Linked DNA regions of Cricetulus griseus. The protein of the gene in region 2 interacts with the protein of the main gene of each other region in a pairwise test. Links are inferred from orthologs where the notes say so. Each region holds a gene or a part of one and is shown on either strand. Other genes may lie near its edges. The genes, in order: Tank, Ikbkg, Eef1a1 and Epas1.

Region 1 (7,305 bases), on a different chromosome or scaffold from region 2:
CACACCATATCCAAACAGAAGGCTTTTTCTGTTGGAATGTACTATGGCAACAATAAGTGTCATAAGACCCTAAAGATCAAAACAATATAAAGAAATTGGCACTTGTTGAATGCTACTAACGTAAACAGACTGTGGAAAGTGCTATGTATATCCTGTACTCTTATGCCTGCTTCATTGGTAAAGTCTTCATTTGTGAATATATGACTTCACTAATGACTATTAATCTGTTGAATAAAATGTATTGCTGCACGAATAGTACTGCACACTTGTAATTCCAGCCCTTGGGTGGTGGAGTCAGGAGGGTTAGGAGTCCACTGCTAACCTCACCTACATTGGAAATTCCAGGCCAGCCTGAGCTTCATAAGACCCCCATCTCAAAAACAAAAGCAAATAAACAAATGCACTGCAAAACACATTGGCTTCTTGAAGTGGCATTGTGGAACCTATGTTTTTTCCAGTATCTCGGGATCATAAACATGAACTGTGCTTTGATAATTGTTGGGTGTGTTTTGGTTTGCTTTGGTACTGTGAAATATATCTCTTGCTATATTTATTACACTGTAGCCTTTGTTGGCTTTTTTTAAAAGATCTAATTTTAACCATGGGTATGTGGGTATGTGCATGAATGTGGGTACCTGTGCAGGCCAGAGATATAGGATCCCCTGGAACTGGAGTTATAGGTGATTGTGAGCCACCAGTGTGAGTTCTGGGAAATGAACTCTAGTCTTCCTGAAGGGCATGTGTACTCTTAGCACAGAGCCGTCTTTTCAGCTCTATACTCTAGTGTTTTCTGAATTCATAACTCCACATTTTTGGTTTACTAGCCTCCTCCCATACTGCCAGCATTTGCTGACTTCTTGTCTTTCTTTAACAGCTCATATTTCCATTTAATTTGCTATGATCTCTGTCACTCTAACTGGTTCCTCAGAAGTTCTCCTTGCCAGCATGTGACTATACCCTAGAGATTTTGTTGGAGAAAAGCTTATTATGAATGAGCTAAAGCAGCTTTGGTGCCCACCTCATATCTGCATGTTAGTCAGAGAGCCTTTCTAAATATGAGAAATGATATATACACATCGTTTTATTTCTCTTTCTTTTTTCTTTTTTTTGAGACAGGGTCTTACCATATAGCCCTGGCTATCCTTGAACTTGCTGTGTAGATCAGGCTGGCCTGGAATTCACAGAGATCCACCTACCTCTGCCTTCTAAGTGCTGGGACTAAAGGTGTGCTATACCACACCCAGCCATATTCACATGTAATTCCTTAAAGTACATCCCAAGATATCAATCTCTTTTGCCTTCACTGTCTTCTTTTTTTCCTGATTCTGACACCACTCAGTGTAGACAGTGACTAAACTGACTAAAGTTATACCTAATAACACATTGCTATTAGGGGAAATGAATTAACTTATTCCTGTAGTAAATGATAAATGCTCTAATTATTCATATTCATATATATATATTTAAACTTAGAATTGTGGCCTCTGTTACAAAGTAAACATATAAGCTACAATCATTTTTGTAAGTGTAAAGCAGTGTAATTGAGAACAAGATGCAAAGCTTATAGTAGAAAACCTAGGAGAAAACAAAGCAATTAAGTTGCAGCCTGTATGCTGTTTGGTTCACCTGCAGGGGACTGCTATTATCCTCATGGAAGATGGGAGCAAACATAAAAATACCAGTTGTCTTCAGTTGGTATATAAACCAATAGAAAAACAATAGTCCTCTGCCTAAAGCTGTTTCAGCTGTTTTTTTCAATGATTTGAGTGTGACTATTTCCCTCTGTATCCTTTTTCCTGCAGACACACAGTGCTCTGTGCCTATACAGTGTACTGATAAAACAGAAAAACAAGAAGCGCTGTTTAAGCCCCAGGCTAAAGATGATAGAAACAGAGGTACGCCGTGTATTGAATCTGTTGTTACACCAAGAGGACTGGGCCGAGATGAGGAAGACACCTCTTTGGAATCACTTTCTAAGTTCAATGTCAAGTTTCCACCTATGGACAGTGACTCTGCTTTCTTACATAGTACTCCAGAGACACCGAACATCCATACTCCTGCCACATCTGAGGCAGTGTGCCAGGACAGATTTAATATGGAAGTCAGAGACAACCCAGGAAACTTTGGTAAAACAGAAGAAACTTTATTTGAAATTCGGAGAATTGACCCCATAACTTCAGCTATAGAGAACCTTAAAATAACTGACAAAACAAAACCCTCAAATCTTAGAGCTCCGTGTTTGCCAGCTGGAGACCATAATGTGTTCTATGTAAATAAATTCCCACTTCAGGACCCGCCTGATGCACCTCTTCCCTCACTGGATTCCCCAGGAAAAGCTGTCCGAGGACCACAGCAGGTAACTGTTTTGCATTAACAAATATTTTATTATGTGTGAACACACATTTTGTCATACATGCACAGATACGAATCTCTTTTAAGTTACCAGACATCCACTTTAAATTAATGACTATCCATAGTTGAGGCTTTCAGTAAAATATGTAAGTTATGTAATAAAGGACATGAATTTTGAATATGAACATGATAAAGGTCTCTCGTGGGTTTATGGCATGGCTTTACATGCTTAGTCCTTCAGTCACAGCTTGTTTATAGCAGTATTCTAGTGGATGGTTTATTCAATTTGATAATGTGAAACAAATACTAAAAGCTATACACATAACAATACTAAAAGTTATACACATAACAATGTATAATTTTCCATAAGTAGATAACTGCACCAAATATTAAAAATAAACTGTCATTCAGCCTACTTGTTACATTCTCAGTTATGGTAGTACATAGTTCTGTAAGGTTTAGTGTGGTTGCTAACCTGACACTTAACAGACATCTTACATATTTTTTTCAAATAATGAGTTATTTGAAATGATTCGTATGAATGAGTTAATCAAATGTCTATTTACTGTTTATGAAGCATGAAGACTTTATAGCCCATGAATCTAATCCTACCATCCTGTCTTTCAGATTCAGGGTTTTTTTCACATAAATATTCTTTTTGTTAGGGAGGAAAATAAATTTTGTTTAGTTCCTAAAGACAAATGAAAATAAATAGAAGCTTGTGGGGAAAAAACAAAATCCTCATTTGAACTTTTGAACATTTAGTTTTCTTCAATATAGAAAAATTCCTTTGGCTTTAAGTATTCTTAGCAGCTAAAGGTCTTTAAACAGTGTGTAAGGGAGGAACAGTCAGACTGGAGTACATTTCAGTAGTAGGTAAAACTAGGGGTTCTGACAAGTCTTAATTATTAACTCTCTGCCTTCTACCCTGTACCTTATTTCACATCATGGTCTCAGCTATAGTTGCTACCAAATGAAACAATTAAACAATTTCATTTATTGCTAGTGGAATTCCTGTGGAGCTGTGAACTGCATCAGTTCTAATGCTTGTTACTCTCTCTCCATTATATCTCTTGCTTGTTCTTTTCCTAGTCAGTCTGTGCATTCATGTTTCAGTAGATGGCACCCTGCATTGTACATTTACTTTCTATATTGCAGCAAGGGAAACAGCTGGTATGTGATTACAACTTGATGGAAAAGTATTCAGCTTTAAAAATTCAAGAGAATTGGTGTTGAGCTGTCACAAGTCATGGGGCATAAGGTTAGATAATTGATATTGTGGCAGAAAAAGCAAAGAAATTGGTTTGGTTTAAAGGCCACGTTACAGTTGTAGTTTGCAAAAATATTTATTTAAATGAGTATTTTGAACATTACTCTTTGGTATTAACAAAGCCCATGGGTACAATTCTTGAGTGGTCCACAGATAGTAAGAAAAGAAGTTTTGATTACATACTTTATTTTTACTTTATATTAATCATCATTACCAATTATGTATTTTTCACTTCAGTTTTCATAGCAGAGACTAAAATCTATATCGGCTGATTTTTGTTCTGTGTGATTTTCTTTTTTTATTTTTGCTGAGTCAGTAATCAAGCTTCCAATTAAATTCTAAGAACAGATCGAATCTGAACTAAAAGCTACTGTTAGATTTGAAAAGTAAATTGTCAATGGAAGATTGGCTTACCAAATTTAGGAACTGGTTCACTTTTAAGCTAATTTCTTGCTGTTTTATCAATCTTAATAAAAAATACCTTTAATCATTTCATTACTAGCCACCACAGTTTTGCATTAGAGTGTTTGTTTTTTTTTTACTTTTTCATTAAACTACAGCCAGTAACATTTGAATCTAATTAACTCTTAACTAATTCCATTTATAATTATTACTGCTTTTCTGTCATCAGGGAAATTTTTCAACAAAAAAGTGCTTTACCCCAAATTTTATGACATTTATTTTAGATATTTTTAATTTTGTGGCAACAGTCACTTCCCATGAAAATAAGTTGAGTCCACATTCTAAGGTGTTTGTAATAACTCTTCAATGTGTCTTGCTACCAAAACAGAATTTATATATTAAAACTGCTGTACACAGCTGTCCTGCAGTGCTCATTATTAGACAGTGATGCCTTGAAACCCAGATACTTCAATTAACAATACTGTTTATGTAAATACTTAGCTAACTAGAATGAAGTTAAAGGTGTAAACACTGTCAGGTGCCGAACTAAACTGTGTTTCATTAAAAACATTAGTAATTGGAGCACAAAGGAATCTCTTTGAATGGTATTATGAGGTGACTCTCTTAATTTAGCTAGGTCAGGGTAATTCACCTGTGTCAAGGTACAAATAAGTTGTTAATAATCGGGCTTATACAGTCAGGAGAGTTAGATATTCTTGTCAACATCATTTTTAAGTAGCTACTGTTAAACTAATTCCTGTGTAGTATTATTCTAGACTTCTTTAAAGGATATTTACAAGTTTTTGTTTGCTAATAAGTACACTGGAGCTGGTTCTATTTAATTACAACTTTCCAAAGTTCTTTAATTGGGCAACTATTGACAGGTTTTTATTTTATTCATCTGCAAGAAAGAGTGAGGCCAAACTATAAAACAGGCAAAGTAAGCAATCAAGAGAACATGTCTCAGTTTAAATATTGTCGAGTGATTTAATATTTGAATTCTTTTTAAACTGACAAATGGAATTTGTGTAGTAGTTTAAAAGAAACTTTTCTGAAGAAGTCAAAATGCTTATTATATGTGATTTGTTTATTTGGATTTTGAATTGCCTTTAATAAAAGTGTGCTTGTACATGTATTATTACAATTTAAGGTTCCTTAAATTGTGAAGTAGAAAATATAGAACTTCATAAAGTCTAAAGTACTGGCTATTGTTTCAAAACTATTGCCATTGAGATAACTGAATATTGATTGGAGAGATGGCTCGGTGGTTAAGAGATAACTGAATATTAACGACTGCTGGTGTTAAACTGGAGTATTTTTAAACACATAAGGATAAAATTCAGGAGTATGTGGTTCAGTTGTGCCCACTCTGAAAAAGAAATCTGCTTTAACATTAGATAATTTCTGATAAAAGCTCATATAAAAGTCATTCATATATTTGGATTTGAAATTCAATGCAAGTTGATTTTAAATACAAATAACAAAAGATGTTTTTGTTTGTTTCCTGCAGCCCTTTTGGAAGCCCTTTCTTAACCAAGACACTGACTTAGTGGTACTAACTGGCACAGACTCGGAATGCCTTAAAGCTCAAGTGTGTGAATTCTGTCAAGAGCTTTTCCCACCGTCCAATACATCCAGGAGGGATTTCCTCCGGCATCTTAATTCACACTATCATGAGACTTGAGTCACATTTGAAAACAGACATATTATGTTCTCTGATGATTCTGGATTTGTAATGCTGGAGAATGCTTGCTTGTAAGCTAGATTTAAGATGGTTTATAAAAGAAATTCAGTCATAGCTATTTGAATTTTTTTCTAAACTTGTTACCTTAGCTTTTGAGATCATTTTGTCTAAAATTAATTCATTATATTCATGTTTACACTATTACAATAATTCAAAATTATGCATGTGACTTAGAGTTACATAATAATTTATGTCTCAAATATATACAATTATTGTTTGACTCGTGAGATGTATTAAATTTGATAATGCCAAATGTTTATAGGATATTATGTATAGGATTTCACTTGAATTTTTAAATTATTTATGCTAAAGATAATGTTCTTTTAAAATACATAATATAATTTACAGAGAATAGCAGACAATATAATTACCTAAGTAAATACCAAATTAGACATTAGTTGCCCAATGAAAATTATTTAAACATTTTAGATCTTTTTAAAAATAATACACATGGTTTTAATTTTTACTATGTGTATAGATGCATGATTCAATGAGTTATATTAAAATTTATGTTGTGATCATTAAAATTGTTCTCTTTTTCTGAGGTAAATAAATAAGTGACATTTGGGGAACGTTCATAAAATTCATGTCTCAGAATTTATTACACATTAGTAGGTCACTTTAAAATTTAAAATGATCTTTCAAACTAAGCAGTCTAAATTTTTTCCTTTTATTGAGAACAAATGCAAAAGCCTGAAAGGAGAATCCATATTTATTAATTTAGATTAGAAATGTTCAAATTCGTGTTGAGAAATTTGCTATTCATTGTTAGCAGCCTGATTGATGGCCACTGGTCTCGAGATGTCTGAGAGAGGGTACCAAGTATGCAATGCTGCAAAAAGTGTTCAAAATGAGACTTCCCTTTCTTCATGATTCTTACCATTTGGGCTTCGCCTACCACCCACCATCCCCAGTTTTTAAAAATGGTTGAGACACGGCTTCCATGTAACTGTCCTTGAGCAGTGTGTCATACTGGAGGGTTTAGCGTGGGGGAATTTGAGCAGGCCTCTGTACCCAGTGGAAGAATGAGAGCGGTACCTCGACTTCTCAAGGTGCCAAACACATCACATTGACATCTTCCTCAGGAAGGTGACATGGCGGTTATTAGGTATTCACTGTGAAGGGTTCTGAGGCATGTACATCTTTTCTATTGCCATCAGGCTGAATGGAAATGCCTAGACAATTATCCAAAGACTCTCCTCTCTTCCCTGTACCCTCAGTCCTAGCCTCCCCTCACCACACACACACACACACACACCCTCAGAACTTCCCAGTATGTACCGGTCAGGATATACTCCACTGCCTCTCAGAAAGGAATTCTTTTTTTCCTCTCCTCTCACATATCTCCCTGGCTTGCTGACAACCAGAAGAACCTCTGTAAGTGGTTCTTAGCGCCCAGAAAAGTGATTCAGAGTGGTCCACTACCCACTTCTCTGGCTATCCTTTCGTCACCACTTTAGTAAGAGATGGGAATTTTAAGATTCCAGCAGTACCCAAGCTCCAACTTGTTAGGGCGGAGACACTATTGGGCCGCCAG
Region 2 (7,305 bases):
CCACGTCAGGGAAGATGGTAGGATCCCAGATCCTTGGTATTTAATGTGTGGTTAATTGCCCATTATACTTCAGGGTAAGGAGGTGTCAAGAGCTCCCACCTTCTGAGAAGGGTACTAGATCCCAGCCACTGCCTGGGGCCACCCTCAGATTTTGGCTTGACCAGTCTATGGAGCCCAAGCCAGAATGTTTTCAAGCTTTCAAGGCTTCTAGGTGATCCTGCTGTGCAACCTGGGTCAACACCAGCTTTCTGCACCACTTTCAGGATAAAGTACTGGTCAGAAATGTACCTATGTATCTCTATTTATCCAAGAAGCATGAAGCCCATACAGCTACTTCAAGAAGTAAACAGCTCTTTCCTGCTACAGCCAACCTGCCTTTCTCAGTCACACCCACTGGCCCTGCTAGGAGCATAGCACCTATAAGGGCCTGACCTCCTCCAAATTCTGAAGCCTAGCAGTCACCATCACCCTAGAGTCCTGCCTTTGGGCTGCACTCAGGTTCTGATGATATCCCTACTCTGGGTTGTGTAAGCCCAAACCCTCAGAACTTGAGAACATGACTTTATTTGGGAAAAGGGTCATGGAAGGTGTAGTGAGGCAAGAGTCTTGAGCTTCTTAATTACCAGATAGACCCCACATCTACAATTTGGTGTAGAGGAAGAGACCATTAGGCCCTAGAACCAGAGATTGGAGTGATGGGTCTATAAGCCAAGCAACACCAAGGACTGCCAAAAACTACCAAGAGCTGAGAGAAAGCCTGGAATTGATTCTCAGAAGAAATTTAATATCTGACTTCCAGACATAAAAGAGTGATTCTTTTGCTGCTTCAAGCCTCTGGGAATTTTTAGGACAGCTATAGGAAAGTCATTGGCCACCACAAAACTGAACTAAATCAAACCAAATCAATAGCAGTCCTGAAGGAAAATTAAATTAGGTATTTAAATGAAGGGTTCATGAGCAAAGAACATGTCTATTCCTTTAACATTTCCCCAAAGATCTGTCTGATAGATACCTGGGAATTAGGAAACAGGAAATTCTGAGGAAGCCCCCAGCTCAGGCTTACTTTTTAAATCCTAATTCTACTCAACCTTCTCTCTCTTAATCGGCAAGAAGCCCTGTGAATAAAGCCCAGGCAGGGATTGATTTACAGATCCCACTCAGAAACATGAAAGCTTGCAGGAGGGCAGAAAGGGTTTCAGGCCTGAGGAGTCAGCAAGGCACATCTATTGCTTTCTCAACTCCAACTTCCTTTACTTTACTAGAATAGCAAGGCTAATACCAATGACTGTAAGGTCCCAGAAAATGGCTAGAACCTTGTTCACAATCTGCCAGTCACTACTAAATGGTTCCCAAGACAGAATTATCTGGGCTAGTGGAGAACATGCCATCACAAACTTCTCGAGTGTGATGAACTATGGAAACCAACATTCACACAAGACAACAATGTGCTTTCCAAAGAGAAGAGCACACTGGGGCTAGAACAAGAAAAGCATGTATGTGAAATACCCTTATGTCAGATCACAAAGCAGTCATAACTCCAAAGCCAAAATATGGGAGTAAAGAATGGACATGAGTACATAAACAGCTTCCAGGACCCAAAACGGTAACACAATCAAAGTGGAACAAGTTGTGCACTTTCTGTGATAGACAAGAGCTAATCTGACTCATGATCAAAGAGCACCCCAGGAACAAATGGCAATGATGAGACAGAAAAGTGGGTAGAAAATATGCAAATCCAAGTTACATCAGCAGAATTAAAAAGGGCCCACATACACCAGAAAAAGACACTTAAGCACACTCTTTAGTAAAGAACAACATGTCTAGCAGATGGCAGAAACACAAAGGTGGACCAACCTCCTCCACGGCAAGGCTCCAATGTTATGTCTAAGCATATGTCTTAATGGTACACATAGATCAGTGTACAAGTACTTTCACTACACCATTAGTTACGGTAGCAAAAAGATGGAATACTTCCCAAATGTCCATCAGAGGCAACACATGTTATGGCCCTAAGTGGCACATACCCTGGGAGGGCAGGCTGCAGCTCAGGGCAATAAGGCACCAGCTGGAGGAAGAGCTGCACCCAGCCCTGCTTGGAGAAGGGATGCTCCCTGAGAGCCCCTGACCTCCATTCTAGACTTCCTAGGAGAATACAGGAGGGAGGAAGAAGCTACAGAGGCAACTGACTCAGGCACACAGAAGAAAAGGGGAAAACACAGCCCTGACTGGGGCTGTCTATCCCAGTGCAGAACTAGCAGGCCTAAGGGCTAAAGCAAGGATCCAACTAGGTCCTGGGGCCAGCTCTTTGACAACAAGCCCTTAATTGTGGACTATGCAGGTGAAACAGGAAAGCACAGGTTGCATAGTTCAGGACATGGTATTACAAGTGGCCTTACATCTGCTGTTCCTACTCTATGCACTCCATGACATGTATCTGTAGAGTGTCCATATCAGGTGCCTGATACTGGCACTTGGGACAACAGAAGTCAGGTGGTTCCTCAGGAGGACTTCTCCGCTGGTTGGGCAAAGCCAGATGAAAGGAGTGGTGAGCTGAGAAAAAAAAAAAACAGAGGCCAGCTGGATAGGCTTCATGAACAGACTGGGTAGACCTCAAAAGGGAAGGAGAGGCTAACAAGGTACTAAGACCTACAGATACCACCATATTTGACTATGTGTGGCTGGGAGCCACCTCTACCAGCACATTCCTCCTTTTGCCTCAGGGTGCTGTAGGCTACTGCTGGGGATGGCCAACAAGAGCTCCCCAAATCAGAGCAGCAGGGAGGCTAATGCATGCTTTCCCTCAGCACAATATTCTGCCCTCCCTATCCATCTCCACCCATCATCTACCACCTGTTCACTCACCTGGAGCAGGGAGTAAAGGGGGCTGGGAAGTCTCTACATGTCGCTTCCTCATATCCTCAATCCTTTGAAAACAAAAACCATTCAATCAATGCCTGCAGGAATTTTTATGAATAAACATCTTCATTGAGATATAATTCATGTACCATACAATTCACCAATTTAAATTGTATCATTCAGTGTTTTTTTACTATATTCAGCATATCCAATCATTTGTATAATTTTAGAATATTTCATCATCTTCCAAAGGAAACTTTGTACTTACTAGCAATTACTCCTGGGTTCCCCCTACATCAGTTTTCTCAGAACCTTACTACAAACTACCACATACCTGGTAGCTTAAAAATAACAAAAATGTGCACGATGTAGGAGGCCAGGTGCCCTAAATCAACGTATCAGAGGACTGGGCAGAAGTACCATACTCTCCCCTAGATGATAATAGTTAACAGATTCGTTGGAATTTCTTGGCTTATAGCTGAATCCCAGACTCTTTGTCTTGGCCTTCTTGTGTCTGCCTTATGTATCTTAATGTGGTGCTTCTATAAAGACCACAGTCAATTTATTAACCTGATAGGACCTTATGTTAACTAGCTATATATACAAAGATACTATTTCCAAATGAGGTCAGATTATGAGGTTTTAGGTAGACATGAATTTGGGAGAACTCTATTTGTACTGGTTAGTTTTTTTTGTTTGTGGGTTTTTTTTTGTCAGTTTGACACAAGCTGGAGTCATCTGATAAAAGGGAACCTCAATTGAGTAAACGTCCCTATTATATTGACCTGGAGGCAAGCCTGTGGGGCATTTTCTTCATTGATCATTGATGTGAGAGTGCCTAGTTCACTAGGGATGGTGCCATCCCTTAGGTAACCACCTGGGCTATATAAGAAAACAAGCTGAGCAAGCCATGGAGAACAAGCCAAAAAGCAGTTCCTCCATGATTTCTGCTTTAGTTCCCATCTCTAGTTCCTGCCCTGACTTCCCTAATCATAGTAAAACTGTAGGATGAATAAACCCTTTCCTCCCCAAGTTGTTTTTGGTCATGGTGTTTATCACAACAGTAACAAAACTAAGACAGACATTAGTACCAGGCTCTTGGGGATTTGCTAAGACAGACCTGGCCATATTGTTTTGTGAAAGACTGTGGAAGGACTTTGGAATTTTGGACTGGAAATGCCATCATCAAGTAGTTAGAGCTTAATGGGCTGTTCTGTGGGAGCCAAGGAAGATAAGAATGCTGACAGCAATGAAAATGATGAAGGCCTGGCTTGTAAAGTTTCAGAGGGAAGCAAAGCAAAGATTCTATCACAGTCATTCATGTGGTATTTTGAAATAAGAATCTGTAGTTCTGGTCAGCTGGAGCTGAAGAATCAGGTATGATGAACAAGAGACCAGCAGCATTGAAGTAAAACCTTTGCTTTACTGGCACAATTGATGCTGGTTACCTGAAGCCAAGAAAGTGATTAAGAGACCAGCATCACTGAGGTGAAATCTTCTAGACTCTAGAATCCAGTGAGTATATCCTCAGGGTCAGTACACAGAAGCTCTGGTTCAGAGTGGGTCAATGTTGCATCTCATGCTAGCAGTCAAATTGGGCTATATGAAGGGGTTATGGAAAGCAGCTGAGGTTTGGTACTATTTGAGAGGTCAGGAGAAGTTATTTGTGAAGGTGCACCCTCAGTGCAGTGGAGATGCCAGTACCATGGGACAACCACCAAGAATAACAGTAGCTGTGGAGAGAAGCCAGCCTGAGCTTATGAGACAAAGTATGTATGTGTGCTATGAATGGCAAAGCCAGAGAAGTATAGCTGCCTAAGCCCTTTGGAGCCCAGAGGATTATTAGTGGATACCCGACATCAAGCACTGCATTTTTTTACACTGTTGGATTTTGGTTTTGCTTTGATTTGATTGTGACTGTGCCATGGTTCTTCGCTCTTAGAGTAAAAAAATATGTACCTTATTATTTTATAGGAGCCCATTGATGGACTTTAGACATTTAAAGAGACATTTTTTTAAGAGTGATGGAATGTTTTAAAGACTGTGGGACTTTCAATATTATGGGAGGAGGGTTTGTTTGTTTTTTGTTTTTTGAGACAGGGTTTCTCTGTGTAACATCCTTGACTGTCCTGGAACTCACTCTGTAGACCAGAATGGCCTGAAACTCAGAAATCCATCTGCCTCCCAAGTACTGGGATTAAAGGAATGTGTCACCACTGCCCAGCCTAAATTTATGTTTTATATTGTCATCTTAACATGAATTGGAGAACAAATAAGAAAGGAAAGGTTTTGGTGTATTTGTATGTCAAGTTGACAAGGGGTTAACTGTGCTGGTTGGCTTTTATCAACACAAACTGGAAAGAATCTCAATTGGCTTGTAGGTAAGTTTGTGGGGCTTTTTTTGATTAATAATTGATGTGAGATACCCAGCTACAGTGGGTGGTGCAACCCCTGGACTGGTGGGCTAGGTTGTGTAAGAAAGCAAGCTGAGCAAGGCAGTAAGCATCATTCCCCTCTGGCTGCTGCTTCAGTTTCTGCCTCCAGATTCCAGCCCTGACTTCTTTCCATGACAGATTATAAACTATAATCTGACCTTTCCTCCCTTAGTTATTTTAGTCATCATGTTTATTACAGTAATGGAAACCAAACTAAGACACTAGGAAACCTAACATCCCCTCAAAAACTCCAGCCTTAGATACCTATCAATACATGCATTTCTGTGAAGTTTCTAGTTGGACCAGTGGTAAAGGTCACTGTTGGAAGGACAGAACATGGGGAGAGCAGCAGGAGGTAAAGGGAACTTAATGCAAACACCAAGAGTCATCAATCTCCTGCAGTTACTACTGGTTGTTGCTAGTATATGACTGCTCTGTGTGTGGCTGTGTTCTTGGCTACACTCTTAGAGGCCCACCTGGCTGACTCATGGCAGCCAACCTTCAGCTTGCTGTACTCGCGCTGCAGCTGCTCCAGCTGTTCCTGCAAAAGCTCCTTCTTCTCCACCAGCTTTTCCCGGGCATGCCTCTCAGCTTGGAAGTCAGCCTTGTAGATATCCGCCTGGCAAATAGAACAAAGGTATGCCAACTATCCATCAGCTGCCCATCAGGCATTCTATGCCATGCCCCACAGGAACAGAATCCTGTCATGTCCCCCAGAGCCACATGATAGTACACTAGGAACAGATATGAAAGCCTGTGATCCCAAGGGCACCAAGAGGTCAAGGACCAATGCAAAGGACTCAAGAAGACTAAAAGAGGCCACCAAAGAATGATGCCAAAGAGGTGCACCAGACCCCACTGCCTGGGAGGGTGGGTCACTCATGTGGCAGGCAGGTTGGAGCAGAGCTCTCACCTGGGCCTTTAGGACTGGCACAGTCTCCATCACAATCTTGTGTTGCTCAGCTTCTTCTTTCAGTTTATCAATCAATTCCTGTTTGGCAACCAGGGCCTCCTCAGCTTGCTGGAGCTGTTGCCTCAAATCTTCCAGCTGCATTCCCTAGAGAAAGATAAAGGGTGCTCACAGAGTCTCTTGGCCCACAGTGGGGCCAAACTACCTCCCTGGCTGGCCACTATTCTGAGAAGGAAAATCTAGAGCAAATCCAGTCTGAGATTCAGGTCAAATGACAAAATCTCAATGTGTGCAGGGAGAAGGCTTCATCCTGCTATGGCCCCACAGTACATAAATGTTGAGGTCTTTCTTAGGATGCACAAAGATCTTAGGACTGATAGGAACTCTGAGGATATAAAAGGCACTGCCTCTTATTTTGCATCATCTCCTTCAGAGAATTCCCAGCTAGGGAGTCTTCCTCTAACTCCTCAAGGACAGGAGCCACCCTCTCTTCGAGGCTTCCCACTCCACAGTAAGTACTATGCACTAACCCTCCACAGACTGAAAGCCCACCACACATCAGACAAGGCTGCAACCCATGAGTCCTTCAACTCTGCCACTTGGTCAAAGGTCTGCTTATCACACACACACACACACACACACACACACACACACACACACACACACACACACACACACACACTATACACATGCACCCATGTTCTCAACCAAGAATTCCCTCCAGAGATTAAGCAGCCATTTTAAAAGATTTTCTTGATCATGGTGGATGATTTTTTGATGCGTTCTTGGATTCAGTTTGGCAGTATTTTATTGAGTATTTTTGCAACAATGTTCATGAGGGAGATTGGTCTGTAATTCTCTTTTGTTGTTGGGTCTTTGTGTGGTTTGAGTATCAGGGTGACTATGACCTCATAGAAAGAATTTGGCACTGTGCAGTAGTGGCGCATGCCTTTAATCCCAGCAGTCAGGAGGCAGAGGCAGGCGGATCTCTGTGAGTTCGAGACCAGCCTGGTCTACAAGAGCTAGTTCCAGGACAGCCTCCAAAGCCACAGAGAAACCCTATCTCGAAAAACCAAAAAAAAAAAGGAAAAAAAAGAATTTGGC
Region 3 (8,006 bases), on a different chromosome or scaffold from region 2:
CTATGCTAAGCTTTTAAAGTGCCAGTAGGTGGCGCTACACCACTAAGTTGAATGCTAGGCGTGACAAATTTTTCCATATCCTATGGTGTACACCTTCTGAGACTCAATCCTGCCCCTTTCCAGGCAGATCAGGCAATGACTCCTTGCAGGTATAGTAATTCCTCACCGTCTGCCTACAACCCATCCATTTATACTGACAAACCTTTAGTCACCGGTTTAGTCATCAGCCCAATTGAACAAGCATGCACTATAGAATGGATAAGTGTACCAGTTTCTCCTGAAAGGTGAAAATGCCACTTTGCTTATGGCCCAGGTATTTCAAAGTGACTCCTAACCCAATTTAAGACCACCTGTTGTAATGACATCTACCAACTCAACCAACTCCACACTATAACTTTTTGTCCTTATCTCCTGCTAAATAAACACCCTGCAGATTACCAAGGGCTTCAGCGGTTGGGAGCACTTTTTCTCCCAATTCTGAATTCCCAGAAACCACAAGGTGCCTTCCAAACAATCAGATGTGGATGCCCTTATCTGGCAGTTGTACTATATGCACTAAAGCACTCACACATTAAAGTGTGTGAAGTACTCAAAGTCCCCCAATCTCACCTTCTACCTTTTCTGCTTAATCTTTGTGCCCCAGATGGCCTTTTAAATTCCTGATACCATTACAAGCTACAGAAAGGCTTATTTATATCCCAGCCTAAATAAAACCTCTTGAGCACTTTCAGTTTAAACTCTAAGTGATAGAATCAAACATCCAATGCACAAGATGAACCCTTTCCTGAAAACTAGTTCTAAAATTGCTAGAGCAAAGCCTGCCTCATATATTAATATTCACTAACAATACACTAACTGTATGATGTCATTTACTTGTGTAAACCCCAAAGGCTCAAGACAAATCAACTGAACTCACCCAGATGAAGGGTAGTCACCATGTCTGCCAAAAACATTCCTAATTTGTCCCAACCAGAACCTTCAAGACACCCACAGGTAATAAGCCATCTCTTGAGCCCTTGAAACTCAGCTCTGGGTCCTGATGAACAGTCCAATCCCTTGGAACACAAATGGGCATCCACATACCTTGCTAAGCTAAGCACTTAGTAATGACTTCAGCATTAACAGAGACAGACTTCTCATTAAACTTGTATTTTAATGGGTCTCAAAATTCTGTGACAGATTTTTGGTCAAGTTGTTTCCATTAAAAAGTACTGATTTTGAAAACTAATAACTTAAAACTGCCACACACACAAAAATGTTCCACAAAACATTCTCCTTTCCTCCTGAAGGTTTTCCGATGCATTGTTATCATTAACCAGTCTTTCACTATTAAACTTAAATGGCCAATTGAGACAAACAGTTCTGAGACCGTTCTTCCACCACTGATTAAGACTGGGGTGGCAGGTGTTAGGGGTAATATTCATTTAGCCTTCTGAGCTTTCTGGGCCGACTTGGTGACTTTGCCCGCTCCAGCAGCCTTCTTGTCCACAGCTTTGATGACACCCACAGCAACTGTCTGCCTCATGTCACGAACAGCAAAACGACCTACACAGAAACAGTTATGAGCACTTGTTCATACAGCATTTCATATCCAAACAATACTCAGTGCAACAGAAACTTAAGTTCTACTTACCCAGTGGAGGATAGTCAGAGAAGCTCTCAACACACATGGGCTTGCCAGGAACCATATCAACGATGGCTGCATCACCAGATTTCAAGAATTTAGGGCCATCTTCCAGCTTCTTACCAGAACGGCGATCAATCTTCTCCTTAAGCTCAGCAAACTTGCATGCTATGTGAGCTGTGTGACAATCCAGTACAGGAGCATAGCCAGCACTAATTTGGCCTGGATGGTTCAGGATAATCACCTGAAAGAAACAGCATTTGGTTAAATCTTGCCTTCAGGTTTTGCATGCTGCTATCAATATTACACTCTTGACACCTATCTTGTTTACCTGAGCAGTGAAGCCGGCTGCTTCCATTGGTGGGTCATTTTTGCTGTCACCAGCAACGTTGCCACGTCTGACATCTTTGACAGACACGTTCTTTACATTGAAGCCCACATTGTCTCCAGGAAGAGCTTCACTCAAAGCTTCATGGTGCATTTCAACAGACTTTACTTCTGTTGTAACGTTGACTGGAGCAAAGGTAACCACCATTCCAGGTTTTAAAACACCAGTCTCTACTCGGCCCACAGGAACAGTCCCAATACCTAAAAACATTTACAGTATATAAGGTGAAGACAACTGAACACACCTCAAAACATCTTAGTCCAGTGTCCGAATGCTCTACTTACCACCAATTTTATAGACATCCTGGAGGGGCAGTCGCAGTGGCTTGTCAGTGGGACGAGTTGGTGGCAGGATACAATCCAAAGCTTCCAGCAGTGTGGTACCACTGGCACTGCCATCTTTACGGGTGACTTTCCATCCCTTGAACCAAGGCATCTGAAATGCAGAGTAGCCAAATGTTTTATAATCTCTCCCCCCTTACAGCTTTTCCATTTAACCACCTTCTTCAAGTCACTTACATTAGCACTAGGCTCCAGCATGTTGTCACCATTCCAACCAGAAATTGGCACAAATGCTACTGTGTCAGGGTTGTAGCCAATTTTCTTAATGTAGGTGCTGACTTCCTTCACAATTTCCTCGTATCTCTTCTGGCTGTAAGGTGGCTCGGTGGAATCCATTTTGTTAACACCAACAATTAGCTGTTTCACACCCAGGGTGTAAGCCAGAAGGGCATGCTCACGGGTCTGCCCATTCTTGGAGATACCAGCCTCAAATTCACCAACACCAGCAGCAACAATCAGGACAGCACAGTCAGCCTAAGAAAAAGTTACCTCCCGTTAATAACAAAGCTTTCCAGCTGGAGGTAAGGGTCAGAAGGTAGTAAATTTCACAAACCTGAGAAGTGCCAGTAATCATGTTTTTAATAAAGTCTCTGTGTCCTGGGGCATCAATGATGGTCACATAGTATTTGCTGGTCTCAAATTTCCACAGGGAGATGTCAATAGTGATACCACGCTCACGCTCAGCTTTCAGTTTGTCCAAGACCCAGGCATACTTGAAGGAGCCTTTTCCCATCTGTTCAGTGATTCGCAGTTAGTACACTCAAAACATCTAGTTTCTAAATAAACAATTTCCTGCTTACGGTAGATTTCCACCCCCCCCGACCTTTTCCCTTCGAATACTTGCCTCGGCAGCCTCCTTCTCAAACTTTTCGATGGTTCGTTTGTCGATTCCACCACATTTGTAGATCAGGTGGCCGGTTGTGGTGGACTTGCCTGAATCTACGTGTCCAATGACAACGATGTTGATATGAGTCTTTTCCTTTCCCATGTTGGATTTGAATTAGCGGTGGTTTTCACAACACCTTAAAAAAAAAGTTCGAAGAATACCTTTGAACGGCTAAGCAGCTTTGTCAATCAGCTTCGCTCCAAACTCAAAATGGGCAAATTCCAAGAATTACTTCCATGGCCAGGCTGGCCTGGCTACAGTCTCCACCCACCAAATGTGAGCAAACTCCAACGCCATTAGACAGATCCCCTCCCCCAGCGGAGGCCAGCGGTGCTCCGAAAGAGCGCCCGGGGTGACTGAAGTGCGGCCGGTACACCACGGGGTCACAGGAAGCAGCGGCCGGCGAGGGGCAAGGCCCTCTTCCTTTGTGTGGGTGACTCACCCGCCCCGCTCCGCCGGGCTGCCGCGTCCTCCATTTTGAGCTCCTTGCTACAGGGCCCGGGAGCGGCCATCTTTCCGCGCACGCAACTGGTGCCGGGCGGGCGGGCCTCGCCCTCCTCGGAGCTAAGCCACTACGGGGTACTGGCCAGACCGGGCCGGGACCCGGGGCCACCTGAACCCGGCATCTAAAACCCACCGCCCGGCCGCCTTATCAGGACACAGGCCGCTACCCGTCCAGGCGGCGTCGGACATGTGCTGCGGGACGGGCGGGCCCGGTCCCCCCCCCGACTGCTGCCGCTCTCCCTGCCCGACATGCGGACTACGGGGCTCCCTACCAGCCAGCTCCACGCCCTCCCTTTGTTGGCCCGGGCCGCGGGCAGGCAATCGAGGGCAGCCGGGCAGACAGCAAAGCGCGGCCGCGGTGGCACGCGGCGGGGCGGAAGCCACGCTAGGCCTCACGCCCGACACGAGGCGAGGCTCCGGGGCCGCCGCCAGGCCTCCCCCCCTCGCCCTCCCGCACAGCCCGCCATCCAGGGCGGGAACGCTCGCAGAGAAGCCCGGCCGACGACACCCGCACGGCGGCCCGACCCCGCTCAAAGGAGGGAGCCCGGGCCCGCGGAGGCCACACCCGCCACTCACCTGCGTTCTGACGGCAAACCCGTTGCGAAAAAGAACGTCCAACGCGACTACCGCACTTTTATACCGTTCTCCCCCACCCTCGGGAAGAGGGCGGAGCCAGCACACGACACCACTTTCCCAGTTTGCCCCGCGCTGGCTCCCGGGCCCCCGCTCAGCGCGCCCCTCCCCCACCGCCGGGGACTGTGGGCTTGTGCTCTCCCGCCGACCCGCGATCCGCCCTAGGCGCAGGCTCCTCCCGCCGCGCTGGGCGGGCACAGCGGTTCCGGGCTGGGAGGCCGGCCAGAATTTAGCGACGGTCCCTGGGATTCCCAGGGGCGAAGGCGATCCCTCCTTTTGTATGAATTACTCTCGGCTCCAGTCGGGGGTGGGGCGGTGAGGAGCTGGCCAAGAGGGCGTCCAGAATCTGTCCCTACCCTTCCTGACTCCACTGCCAAGGCTGTGTCGAGATCCGGGTGTCCCTTCCCGTGGAGGCCACCTCCCGACGTCAGCCCCGCCATCCCCCTGCTTGTCCCCCGCGGGAGAGGTGCACAATCCTAGGGACCCTTCCCAGCCCCAGAACCTAAGGGCTCAGCTCGGTGGCCGAGAGCTCGACGGATCTGCCCCTGTGCTGGCCTCTTGGTTCATTCCATCCAGCGCCAGCTGCTTCTCTGGAAGCCTGAAGCGCGCTTCACGCCCTGGGAGTTCCGTTCAGAATAATACTTAAGTCCCACAGTTAGCTTTACTTCTGATTCTGGGCTTCTTAAGCTAAAAAAGGATTTTGTGTGTGCGCGCATTGTGTGTGTGTGTGTGTGTGTGTGTATTTGGGTACAGTTATTTGATAGAGCACGAGGAACATGAAAAGAATCTAATCAACTCCACGTGGTCTCATTTAGAGGCCAGCATTAGCAATCTTACTCGCCCAGAGCCCATCCCTGACACTTGTGAAATCAGAGCTTCTCAAAAATGGCTCGTCCTATTATTTAAATGCTTGTCATTCCTACAGTTCCAAGGATCATAACTGCGTTTTGCTGTGGTTCTGATTGTGTGGCTGTTTTGTTTTTGAGACAGTCTCTTTAGCCCTGGGTGCCCTGAAACTCACTAGGTAGACCAGGCTGACCTCAAACTCACAGAGATCCGCCCTGCCTCTGCCTCCTGCGTGCTGGGATTAAAGGCGTGCGCCACCATGCCGGCCCTAGCCTGTTTTCTTTTCTTTTTTTTCTTTTTTTTTTTTTTTTTTTTTGGCCCTGGCCAGTTTTAAATGCCTCTCCGGGCAGGATCTCAGAAGAAAGAAAAACTTCTTTGTTGTTTTGTTTCTTAATGCTAGGGACGGTGAAAAGGTATTTTGTAATGGAATATGGGGTTGTGGAGATGGAACCGAGGGTCTCAGCACACCAGGCAAGCACTCTTATCACTAAGCTACATTTTTAGCCTTAGAGTATTTATTCCTAATAACCTGATTATGGGCTCAAGAGATCTCCTCCAGATGTACAACATCACTGCCTAGTAACAAACAATTGATATTATTGAACCAACCTAATAAGGAGCATTTGAGGACCTACTGTCCGGTGTCCACATGTGGGATCTGCAAAGGAACTATTTGCTTCCGGACAAGACTCCACAGTCAAGCTAGGAAGGAAAAAAACTGAAATATAAAACAAATTTTGGGATGAGTTGAAAGCAAATTTACATGATACTTGATTCTTACCTATTATCTAGTTCTAGTTTTCACAACCCAAACTGTTGTTGTTTTTAATTTTTTTAAAAATAGCATTATTTAGTGTGTGTGAATGCACATGCTGTGTATAGCTATGTGTGGGGACCAGAGGACACCTTCCAGGAGTCAGTTCTCTTCCCTCAACCATGTAGCTCTAAAGGATCCAACTCAGAGTCAGGCTTTGCAGAGAATGCCTGTGACCACTGAGCCCTCTCACCACCTCCTGATGTTATTTTTGTTTGTTTGAGACAAAACCTGGGGCGTTGGTGGTGCATACCTTTAATCCCAGCAGAGGCTGGCTGATCTCTGAGTTCGAGGCCAGCCTGCTCTTCAGAGCTAGTGCCAGGATAGGCTCCAAAACTACACAGAGAAACCAAAAAAAGAAAAGAAAAAAAAAAAAAAAAGAAAGGAGACAGAACCTGATGTAGTTCAGGGTGGCCTCAAACTCACTGTGTTGCTGAGGCTGGCCTTTGATTTCTAATCTTCTACCTCTACTTCCCAATGCTGGGATTACAGACGTGCCCCACCACACAGGTTTCTTTTCTCCTAATTCCTATATTACAGAGCCTTACAACCTTCTACAAGCAGGTTTTCTCATTTATCAGGAGGTTTCTGGCTTTGTTTGCACTTAATTCTGTTAATTGTAACCAAAGAATCCAGAACTACGTTTCCCTAAAAGTATATATAACTAATCATTTTCTATCCACAGAAGCTTTTTCTGGTCAAGGAGGGTGTTAAGAGATCAAACACAGGGTCTATGCATGCAAGGCACACAAAAGCCTTTTCTATAATGGCCACATTACCCTCTCTCATTTCACAAATCCCTTTTTCACAGAGATTTTCTAGGGTTCTCAGCCAGTCGTTAAAATTATCTTGATACCCTAGTGCCTATTTGTAACAAGAGAAATTGTAAGAAATATACGAAAATGAAACACTAGCAATAGAACTAATCTCTCTGCTTTCATTTATTTCCTTGGAAACACTGGTTAGTAATTCATCTTTGGAACTAGTTTCCCACAGCTATATTAGTGTATTATAGTAGTAGTAACTGTACCACACTAGATATTATTTTCCGTACTTAACAGTGTTGTGCTTCTAATGGTTTAGCCTTATATATTGGGGTAATACAACAGTACATATTATCTTTTTTTTTTCAAGGTTTCTCTGTGTAACAGGCCTGACTGTCCTGGGACTCACTTTGTAGACCAGGCTGGCCTCATTCACAGAGATCTGCCTGCTTCTGCTTCCCCGAATCATCACCACACCTGGCAACAAGAATGGCAAATTTTTGACTGCATAAATGATTATTTCATAACCTGAGGGATTGAAGATTCAAGAAAGACCAAAAGTTTAGGAGTTTTATTGGTTTTAATTTTTTGTTTTATATGTGTGGATGTTTTGCCTGCATCTGTTTCTATGCACAACGTGTGTGCCTGGTGTCCTCAGAGGTCAGGGTGTCAGGTCTCCTGGAGCTAGCTACTACAGAATGTTGTGTGCTGCCTGATCTGGGCGCTGGGAACTGAACTGTCCTCTGCAAGAGAACCAAGTGCTCTTAACTGTTGATCCATCTCTCCAGCCCTATTTGTTGTGTGTTACTTGTTTGTTTTCTGAGGGATTTTACTATGCAGCCCTGGCTGGCCTAGAACTTACTATGCTGGCCTCAGAAATCCTCTTGACTCTGCCTCCCAAGCTTGGGGGTCTGGCCTTTGTTCTGTTCTATTTGTTTGTTTGTTTTCTTTCTTTCTTTTTTTGGTTTTTCGAGACATGGTTTCTCTGTGTAGCTTTGGAGCCTATCCTGGCACTTACTCTGGAGACCAGACTGGCCTTGAACTCACAGAGATCGGCCTGTCTCTGCCTCCCAAGTGCTGGGATTAAAGGCGTGTGCCTTTAATCAAACAAACAACCACCTGGCTAGTTTGTTTTCTTGAGACAGAGCCTCATATAGCCTAGGCTGACCTCAAACTCATTATGTAACTGAGGATAACCTTGGATTT
Region 4 (8,070 bases), on a different chromosome or scaffold from region 2:
ACATCCTTGAAGCCTCCATGTTTTTATTTATTTTACCCCCCAAGTGCTAACTTCTACCACTGGACTGTCTCCGGGATCCAGTTTAAGCTGGTGTCCATCATCTACCCTTCATTATTTCAGGGACACTGTGAGCCAGCTTCCCCACTTATACCAATGCGTCTAGATAACAGTGTGTGTAGTTTCTTTTCTTTAGTTTCAAATATTTGAACCCTACAAAAAAAACCCACATGGGTGTCGACACCTAAGGCTTCTTGTGTGGTCCTCTCTGCACCCCAATACAGACCAAGCAATTGAAAAGAAAGGAACCTGTTTCCCATTTCTTACTTTTCAGCATTGTTGTTTGTTTTTTCAGAGTAGGTGTGTTTGCCCTGGGCCCGTTGTTGCCTTACTACTTACTATCATGTATGAATCATCATGAGAATCGACAACATGGGGATGGAGTGGGGGGTACAGGTAAAGAATAGTTAGTCCTGGGAGAAGACAGTGCTGACTTGGCTGCAGGGTAAAAGTTCAGTAGCTCATGTACTGCAAAACTTGCCTTAGTTTGGTCAAGAGTCAAAACTAAGGAAAGATCACAGGGTAAGATGAAAAGGGAAACCATTATAGGACAGAACTGGGGGAGATTGAAAAAACAAAAACAAAGCAAGTAAGTGAATAGAAAAAGATTTCTCCAAAAGAGGGAAAGCCTAAATGTTGGAAGAATTAATCACAAGTACTTCCAGGGCTGAAGTCCTGGAGCATTAAGAATTACCTGCTTGTTTCCCTCTATTTCTAAACACTTTATACCATAGATTCCTAGAATACACACACACATACACACACACACACACACACACACACACACACACAGAGAGAGAGAGAGAGAGAGAGAGAGAGAGAGAGGCTGTGACAGAGAAATTGATTTAAAATGTGAATATTCTAGTTCAGCCTCCAAAGCCACAGAGAAACCCTGTCTCGAAAAACCAAAAAATAAAATAAAATAAAATTTGAATAAAGTGGACGGTTTCTATCTCATGACTTTCATTTCATCCCTGTGAAAACACCTAACCTCGACATACAACAATCTGGTAGCTGTGGAATGTTCTCCACTTTACAAAGCAACTTGCTACATCCAGGAACTGAGGAGGGTCCCTGCATTGGTTTTGCTCAGTGAAGTCCAGCAGAGCAGCAGGGTTTTTTTTTTTTTTTTTTTTTTTTTTTTTTTTTTTTTTTTTTTTTTTTTGTGTGTGTGTGTGTGTGTGTGTGTGTGTGTGTGTGTCTGTGTTTTCTACCTGAAATAAAGAAAAGCATTGCCAACTGACTGGTTGACTTCATTTCTGTCACATCTGGAAGGCTCTTTCAATTATCTAGGAAAGTAAATCTCCAATTTTGAAGGTTCAGGGGTCTGGCAGTGGTGGTGGTGGTGGTTAGCTGCACTAACTCTTTGGAAATCCTCAGAGGCTAGAGGCATGTCAGGGCTGGGGCTCTGTTGACCATATACTGACTTTAAATGAACCAGTATTCTGCTTCTTATCAGCCCTAAATTTCTTGGTGAGGAGAGATGCCATTTTACCTTCCCTGGGCCTTGTCCAGAAAGAGAAAATATCTTTATGGCTTCCATGCTTGTTTACAAAATAATCTTAAAGCCCCATAATAAACGAACGTTAAGTCACAACACCTTCTAAAAACTCTATGAAAGCTGTATACACCAAGTACAGTTTAAGTGCCCGAACTTCGAGTGTTACATAACAGTTCTCTAGTGTTCTATAGTTCTGGCAATACAACAAAAAATGCTAACAAGTGTTGAAGGAACTCTTATTAGAGAATAAGCTTCAACTTGAGAAACCTATCCTGCATTATGTTTCCTTGACTTGGACAAATGATGGACTTTGGTTTCATTTTCCAGCCAGCATGAGAAGCTAGCGGCAGTCTGGAAACTTGAAGGTCCAGGTGTCTCCATTCCTTGGGTACCCTTGCCCTGGCATCAAGTACCAGAATACTGCTGAAAGGTACTTAGACTAGAGTCTGGCTTAGGGCCTGGACTTGGATTCCTGGCCATCCTGGGACCCGGCTTCTATTTATCTTAATTGCTCTGCCCTGCAAATCTCCACTTGAGCACATCCATACTTAGCTCTTCCCAGAGTCAGGAACCTTGGAAGACTGGTGAGACCTCTGCTTCATCTAAACTCAATAGAGCTGGACATGGTTCCCTCTGTCAAAGCCTGTTAGCCAGCCAACAATGAAAAGGCTTGCTCTTAATTGTTATGGATTAGTATATACAGGGATGCCTGGGAATAGAAACAATCCTTCTGGATTCTTGAGGGGCTGTTTCTAGAATGAAAAATGTTCAATTATATTCTAGAGAAGAAACAGCTCTTAAACCAATAAAAATACAAATCTTTCAGGAAACCCTGCAGCTCACAACAATTTCGTGAGGCATTCAATGCCCTGCTTCACAATTTTTAAATACATCTCGATGCTCTAAGAAGCCAGCCAATATAACCAGAGTCTCAATGCCATTGGCCTAACAGGCATTGGGCAGTGAGGGAACTTGCACAAGGCTTGCCCTGCCTTACCTTAACACACGCAAAATCCCTGCTGGGCTACCACTAGGGAGCTGCACACCCGCAGCGGCCTCCTAGGAGGTTCACAGGCCAGCGTGTTTCACTGGTTCTTAAAGCGGCCGCTTGCACTCATCGGTAATTTGTAGTGTTATTATGCAACTGTCTTCCTGTTCCTACTGGGGCTCCCCGCACCCTCCAACAGCCCTCTGCTAAGGAGGCTTCTGTAAGTCGGGTATGGAAGCAGCTTTTCCCATGATTGGTAGACCTAAGAGCAAGATGACACTTCACACCGATTACCATCAGGCCTCATCTGTACAAATGCGACAGTCACCCATAGGCACCGCAGGAATAAAAAGTTCAGTAAGTTCCCCTGGCGGCTCTGGGCTGTCTGACTTCGCGGTTTTGATTATGACTGCATTCTGATTGCCTTTACAGCTTGAGTCTTTTCCCTTGCTTGTATAACCTCAAAGGACACAGCACCCCAGAGCTGTTTGGTGGGCAACAACGGGGAATCTAGAACCCGACTCAATACCTTCCCCCTAGAGATCCGTCAGCGCACGGTGCGGGCGCCTGGCCAGGACGGGTGCGATTCGCTCGTTTATCAAATCCTTATCGGTGCCCTGAGGTGGGAGCTGTCGCTTTCGACCAGAGGATACACTGTTCCTGGCTCGGGTCCCTAAGTGGAAGTCCAAACAAAAGCCAGTCTGCTCTGGGGCCGAGTCCTCAGCGCAGTCCTTTCCATCCTGCCTGCGGATCTCCCGCGCGGCCCGCGCCACTCTGACATCCTGCGTTCGATTCCAGCCACCCTAGCCAAGTAGCCGCTGAGCCCAGTGTTAGACGCTCTAGCCCAAAAGGCTCGCACCGGTCGAAACAGGAGCAAAGGGCCAGGCGACTAGCCACAAACTTTTGCAGGAGGCGAGGGTGTACCCAGGGCTGCGCGGCAGCGTGGTGCGCTCGCACCCAGGCTCTGAGAGAGCCCTGCCGGTGTCGCCTGATCCGGGGCGGATTGAAGGAGACACTAGGGCAGCGCGAGTTGGCCGGAGTTGCCTCTCACCCAGTGCGGAAAGATTCGCGAGGACAGGCCTTCGTGGTTGCCCTTCTCTGTCTTCTTCAGACACTCGGAGAGGTCCGGTGTCGCCGTCCTCTCTCTGCACACTAAGACACCTGCCCCCGCAGGGCAATCCAGGTCACTACCCACTCTCTGGTGGAGTCCAGATGCAGGGCGAGGGAAGGGGGTGTTCTAAAACTTGAGTGCCTTCAGGAGCAGGGCACTTGGCCGTGTTCCGGCTCCTGGGGCCAGGAAGCGCCCCCGAGTTGCGCTTTGCCCTCTGTCCCTTACTAGTTTGGGGCGCGGAGCCCGCAAAGGAGAGCTCTCGGAAAGACCTGAAGGGGTCTTAGGAAAAGAAAGGCGTGTCTGCTCAGCAGGTAAACCCTGAGAAAGTCGAGGGCATCAGCCCAGAAACATTTCAAACCCCAGAGCTTGGTGTTCTGGGGACGACAGACTTTGGAAGGCGCCGCGGAAGCACCCCTGACCTCCAGGGCCACCTCTCTGTGACTCAAGGTCTCAGAACGATCGGGTTCGCGACTTTGTTGTGAAGCGGCAGCTGCGCGTCCGTAAAGTCCGCACCTGCTCGCTCACCCACCCACCCACCGCCACCTCCAGAGCGGTCCCCCGGCCTCCGAGACCTCCCGCAACTGTCCCGGGTCGCGCCCGCCTCGCGCGGTTCCGCCACTGCCTGGCACTGAGTTGGTCGCCGGTTCCGACGCCCGCTTACCTTTTCTTCTCCTTGTCAGCTGTCATTGTTGCAGTGTCCCTCCGAGACCCGGAGCACCTGGGTTCCTTAGGCCGGTAGGGGCTGCAGCCGCTGCCTTAGCTGTGGCCCTCGGCGGCTCTCTGTCGCCCCGGCAGGTGTGAAAGGTCTTTAGTGCTCGCAGGTCCGAGTGTCCCGCACAATCAGGTGGAAGTTTGGCGGACGCCTGGCTAGGTGCGGAGGAGGAGGAGGGAGGAGAGGGGTGGCGGGGAGGAACCTGTAGGAGGAGGCGGGGCCGGGGAAAGGAGTGGGAGGAGGTTGTAAGACGCCAAAGGAGAGAGCAGAGACAAGGGACCTGAAGTTCCGTTTATCCGCAAACAGGAGTCAGTTTTCTGGGATGTCACAAAACAAAACCAACCAGCCAACAAACAAAAACAGTGGCTCAAAGAGAGCGAGTTGGAAAGAATCCGGGGCCAGGCGAGTGCGGCCGCTGAGATGACCATACAGTCTCAGGACACTGCCGAGGATTGTACGGCCGCCTCAGGAGAGCTGGAGCGGAACGCTGGAGACTCCGAAGCTGTGCACCGGCCGCTCTCGAATGTCCGGTTTCCTCGGCTGCCAGCCCACTTTAAAAACTCGGACGGCCCGCCCGCGGGAGGGCGCGAGGGGCGCGGGAGTCCCAACAGCGGCCCGGGGGCGGGGCCGGGGTGGGGAATGGGCGGGGCCGGGGCGGGGAGACAGACAAGCTCCGCCCCTACCCGCTGGCTGCCTCGTCCCGGCCAATGAGGAGGCGCCGGCACAGCCTCTGCCCTCACCCGGGACCGCCCCTTTCTCTCCGGCTGAGCTCCTCCCTAGCTCGCCCAGCCCTGCCTCCTCCTTCCGCAGATCAGCACTTGTTTTTGTGGTACTCTCAGCGCCGGGCTGAGTAGTGGAAGGGGTCGGCTACCCGAGCCCAGAGAGTGACTTCGCTCCAGGGTCCTCTCAGTAGCACATTTCCCTGAACCAGGGCAGGACCGCGGGGTCGGGGTGGGGTGGGGGGGGTCCCACGCGCAGCGGAGGCGTGAGCCGCACTCACAGGTGCTGCTATGCGTCCCTGCCCCAGCTGTGCGGCTTCCCCTGACAGGTGGGAATAATTCCCAGGACTCCGACTGCAGTGCTGCTTGCCAGCCTGGGTGGTGCGCTCTTTTTGGCGAAGCGCAGCTGACCTTGACTTCTGAGTCCCGAGAGGCAGGAGGGGGAAAAGGTGTGGGAGAAAATGTGACAAAAATAAAATTATTTAGGGTTGCTCCTGCGGTGTCTTTTTCTCTACCAGTTTGTGGGTTGTTTGAGGTGCTTGTGGTCGGCTGTTAGGTTATGGCGCATACTAGAGAAGAGGGCCTTGGAGTTCTCCGGCCTGCCTTTGCCAGGCCTCAATAAATAAGCCAGCATCACCATGGGTTCCCTGGTGTGATCTTGGGGGTGAGCGTTGATAGCACACCCCAAGTCACTGGATCTGCCCGCCCTCTTGGGCTCCAGGGTTATCGAATAATAACACCACCTTCAGGAAGTGATGGATCTAAAGTCCCTCACGAGCAGGCAGAGAGCTCTTTTGGCCTTTTCCACTTGTGAGGTGCTCCTGCCCTGACACTTTCCCATTTCCTAATTAGGTGATCCAAGGGGAGATCTCCAGAAGGAACAAGCGAAGACTGGGAAAAAGGCCCATGAGCTTCACATGTGTGACTTACCCAGAAAGCAAGCAACTGCAAAGTGAGCTGTCCTGGGACCCAAATCCAGTACGCACTGCATTACTCTCTCACCAACGTTTCTTAGTAAAATTATAAGCAGAAACCCGGTGTGTGTTGCTGCGGGGGGGGGGGGGGGGACACGGATCTTGAGTTTGTGTAGGTACACAGGAAGAGAGGCACTTTTCAGGCATTTTCCCAGAGACTTGGGAAGGTATCTGAAGGAACCAGGAGAGCAGGGAAATCAGAAACGATAGACACTCTCCTTGAGAACTTGGAAATCAATCCACATACCTGACCGTGATCTCAAAGATCATTCATTTGTTTCACTCAAAGAAACTGGTGGGTGATTTCCTACAGCACTTCTCCATCCAGACAACACTGCCAGACTCATTTATTTGTCTTAATGAGAAACGCAAATTATTAGACATGGTTATAATAAACGGTAAGCATATTTAAGTCACTTGAGACTGGAATGGAGGAAGGGGGGAAAGTCAAACAATAATTAAAAAAAAATAAACCCAAGCACTTTGGCAGCATCAAGGACCCTAACATTGTTTTCCTCTAGAGCTCTTGAATCCTGAGCTGTGCTTGACAGGTGACTATGCAATACCTCTAACCTGCAGGGAACATTTCAGTAGGGCTGAGGTTATGAAATTTGTTTGGAAGATTTTTGTTTTTAAGAGGAAAGGTAGGGCCCTAAGGTGCAAGCATGTGTGGGGCCCTGGGTTCAACCCCTAGCAGCAGATGCTACAAAAGTCACTCAAGAAGCACAGCAGCCACATTAGCACAGCCCCTTCCCTGTGCTGACATCCCCTCTTTCTAACTGGGGTTTTAACCTACACATGAAATGGGCCTATATAATTCCCAGAAGGTCCCAGCCTTGCACAGAGCAGAACCGTCTGGTCTACCTAAAGCCTCTTAACATGTCTTCCAGAATTTAGTCAACAACCTTTGTATGGAGCTAAGAGTGTAAACCAGTCACAGCATTCTTTGTAGTTTTAGCACCTGTGGAGAACTAAAAGTGGGGGGAGAAGCTCTGAAAATAGATGGTAGGGGTGGGGGAATGGTGCCCCTGGCTTTAGAGAAAATCTCTCAAGAGACATTGATGTTAGGGCCACAGAACAGCAGAAGGTATCCTGAAGGAAAGCTTAAAGGGGACACAGATGACCTATCCCTTAGGAAGTCATCCCCCACCGGTGTCCCGTGATCCCATTGTCGTGTGTGTGTGTGTGTGTGTGTGTGTGTGTGTGTGTGTGTGTGTGTCCTGTCTCTTGGTTCTCCACTGAACTGCTTGGAGTCAACAGCTGTGACATCAAGGGACTGCCTACTTGTTTTAATAAGGGATGTGCCTGGGTCTTTGGTTTCTTCCCTTCTTTGTTGAGTGTCCCATTAGAAGGACAGCTGTTGATAAAGGCTAACCTACAAACCTAAGGAAAGCAGGTACTTGGGATATAGCAGGAAGGTGTGAGGATGACTCAGTAATCCTGTCAGAGTGACAGACATGACCCAGGATATGGTTTGTAATCAGGTTGGAGTGGCTAGGTCTTAGCAGAAGAGACCGAGAAAGGCTGGGCTATTGCTTTAGTGTTTGACAGACTTTCAGTTCCTTGTCACAATGGGATCAAGAAGAAAGACAAGAGTAGCCCCTAGGACTCAGAAATGGAAGGAGATACTCAAATTCACAAAAACCTGCACTTGCCACTGTCCTGCAAGTACACTGTCTCATGTGACAGTCCTCTGAATTGTCAGGAACAAGGAAGGTAGCAGAGATGGGAGGAAGGGCTAGCTGGGAGAGGTCATTGCTCCTCCCCCTTGACAAACCTTTCTGACTCACCCCCAAGAGTTAATCTGCATTATCAATTTGACTGGATTTAGAATTACTTTGGAAACACAACTCTGGGCTTGTCCATGAGGGTGTTTCCAGACTCTATGAACTGGAATCCCAGACTGAATAAAAAGGAGGAAGTGAGCTGAACACCTGCATTCATCTCTCTCTCTCTCCTTCTCTTTCTTCCTCCCTCCCTCCCTTCTCCCCCTCCATTCCTCTCTCTC

The links.
Region 1: the proteins of Ikbkg (region 2) and Tank interact in binary tests that used the Homo sapiens proteins (3 or more experiments, as listed by UniProt). The link is inferred for Cricetulus griseus from reciprocal best matches to the Homo sapiens genes IKBKG and TANK.
Region 3: the proteins of Ikbkg (region 2) and Eef1a1 interact in a two-hybrid assay, tested with the Homo sapiens proteins (2 studies listed by BioGRID and IntAct, with this or other methods). The link is inferred for Cricetulus griseus from reciprocal best matches to the Homo sapiens genes IKBKG and EEF1A1.
Region 4: the proteins of Ikbkg (region 2) and Epas1 interact in a two-hybrid assay, tested with the Homo sapiens proteins (2 studies listed by BioGRID, with this or other methods). The link is inferred for Cricetulus griseus from reciprocal best matches to the Homo sapiens genes IKBKG and EPAS1.

Annotation. Positions count from the first base shown.
Region 1 is NC_048599.1:113,239,670-113,246,974, reverse strand, and holds the end of Tank (TRAF family member-associated NF-kappa-B activator), read left to right. Parts: intron 1-1,802; coding exon 1,803-2,356; intron 2,357-5,534; coding exon 5,535-5,708; 3' UTR 5,709-5,988; downstream 5,989-7,305.
Region 2 is NC_048604.1:1,264,616-1,271,920, forward strand, and holds part of Ikbkg (NF-kappa-B essential modulator), read right to left. Parts: intron 6,349-7,305; coding exon 6,205-6,348; intron 5,911-6,204; coding exon 5,768-5,910; intron 2,925-5,767; coding exon 2,863-2,924; intron 2,551-2,862; coding exon 2,408-2,550; 3' UTR 1-2,407. UniProt on the Homo sapiens protein: Regulatory subunit of the IKK core complex which phosphorylates inhibitors of NF-kappa-B thus leading to the dissociation of the inhibitor/NF-kappa-B complex and ultimately the degradation of the inhibitor.
Region 3 is NC_048597.1:189,544,028-189,552,033, forward strand, and holds Eef1a1 (elongation factor 1-alpha 1), read right to left. Parts: upstream 4,353-8,006; 5' UTR 4,320-4,352; intron 3,376-4,319; 5' UTR 3,342-3,375; coding exon 3,198-3,341; intron 3,087-3,197; coding exon 2,907-3,086; intron 2,828-2,906; coding exon 2,531-2,827; intron 2,448-2,530; coding exon 2,297-2,447; intron 2,213-2,296; coding exon 1,956-2,212; intron 1,869-1,955; coding exon 1,634-1,868; intron 1,546-1,633; coding exon 1,421-1,545; 3' UTR 1,152-1,420; downstream 1-1,151. UniProt on the Homo sapiens protein: Translation elongation factor that catalyzes the GTP-dependent binding of aminoacyl-tRNA (aa-tRNA) to the A-site of ribosomes during the elongation phase of protein synthesis.
Region 4 is NC_048598.1:88,385,638-88,393,707, reverse strand, and holds the start of Epas1 (endothelial PAS domain-containing protein 1), read right to left. Parts: upstream 4,988-8,070; 5' UTR 4,345-4,987; coding exon 4,319-4,344; intron 1-4,318.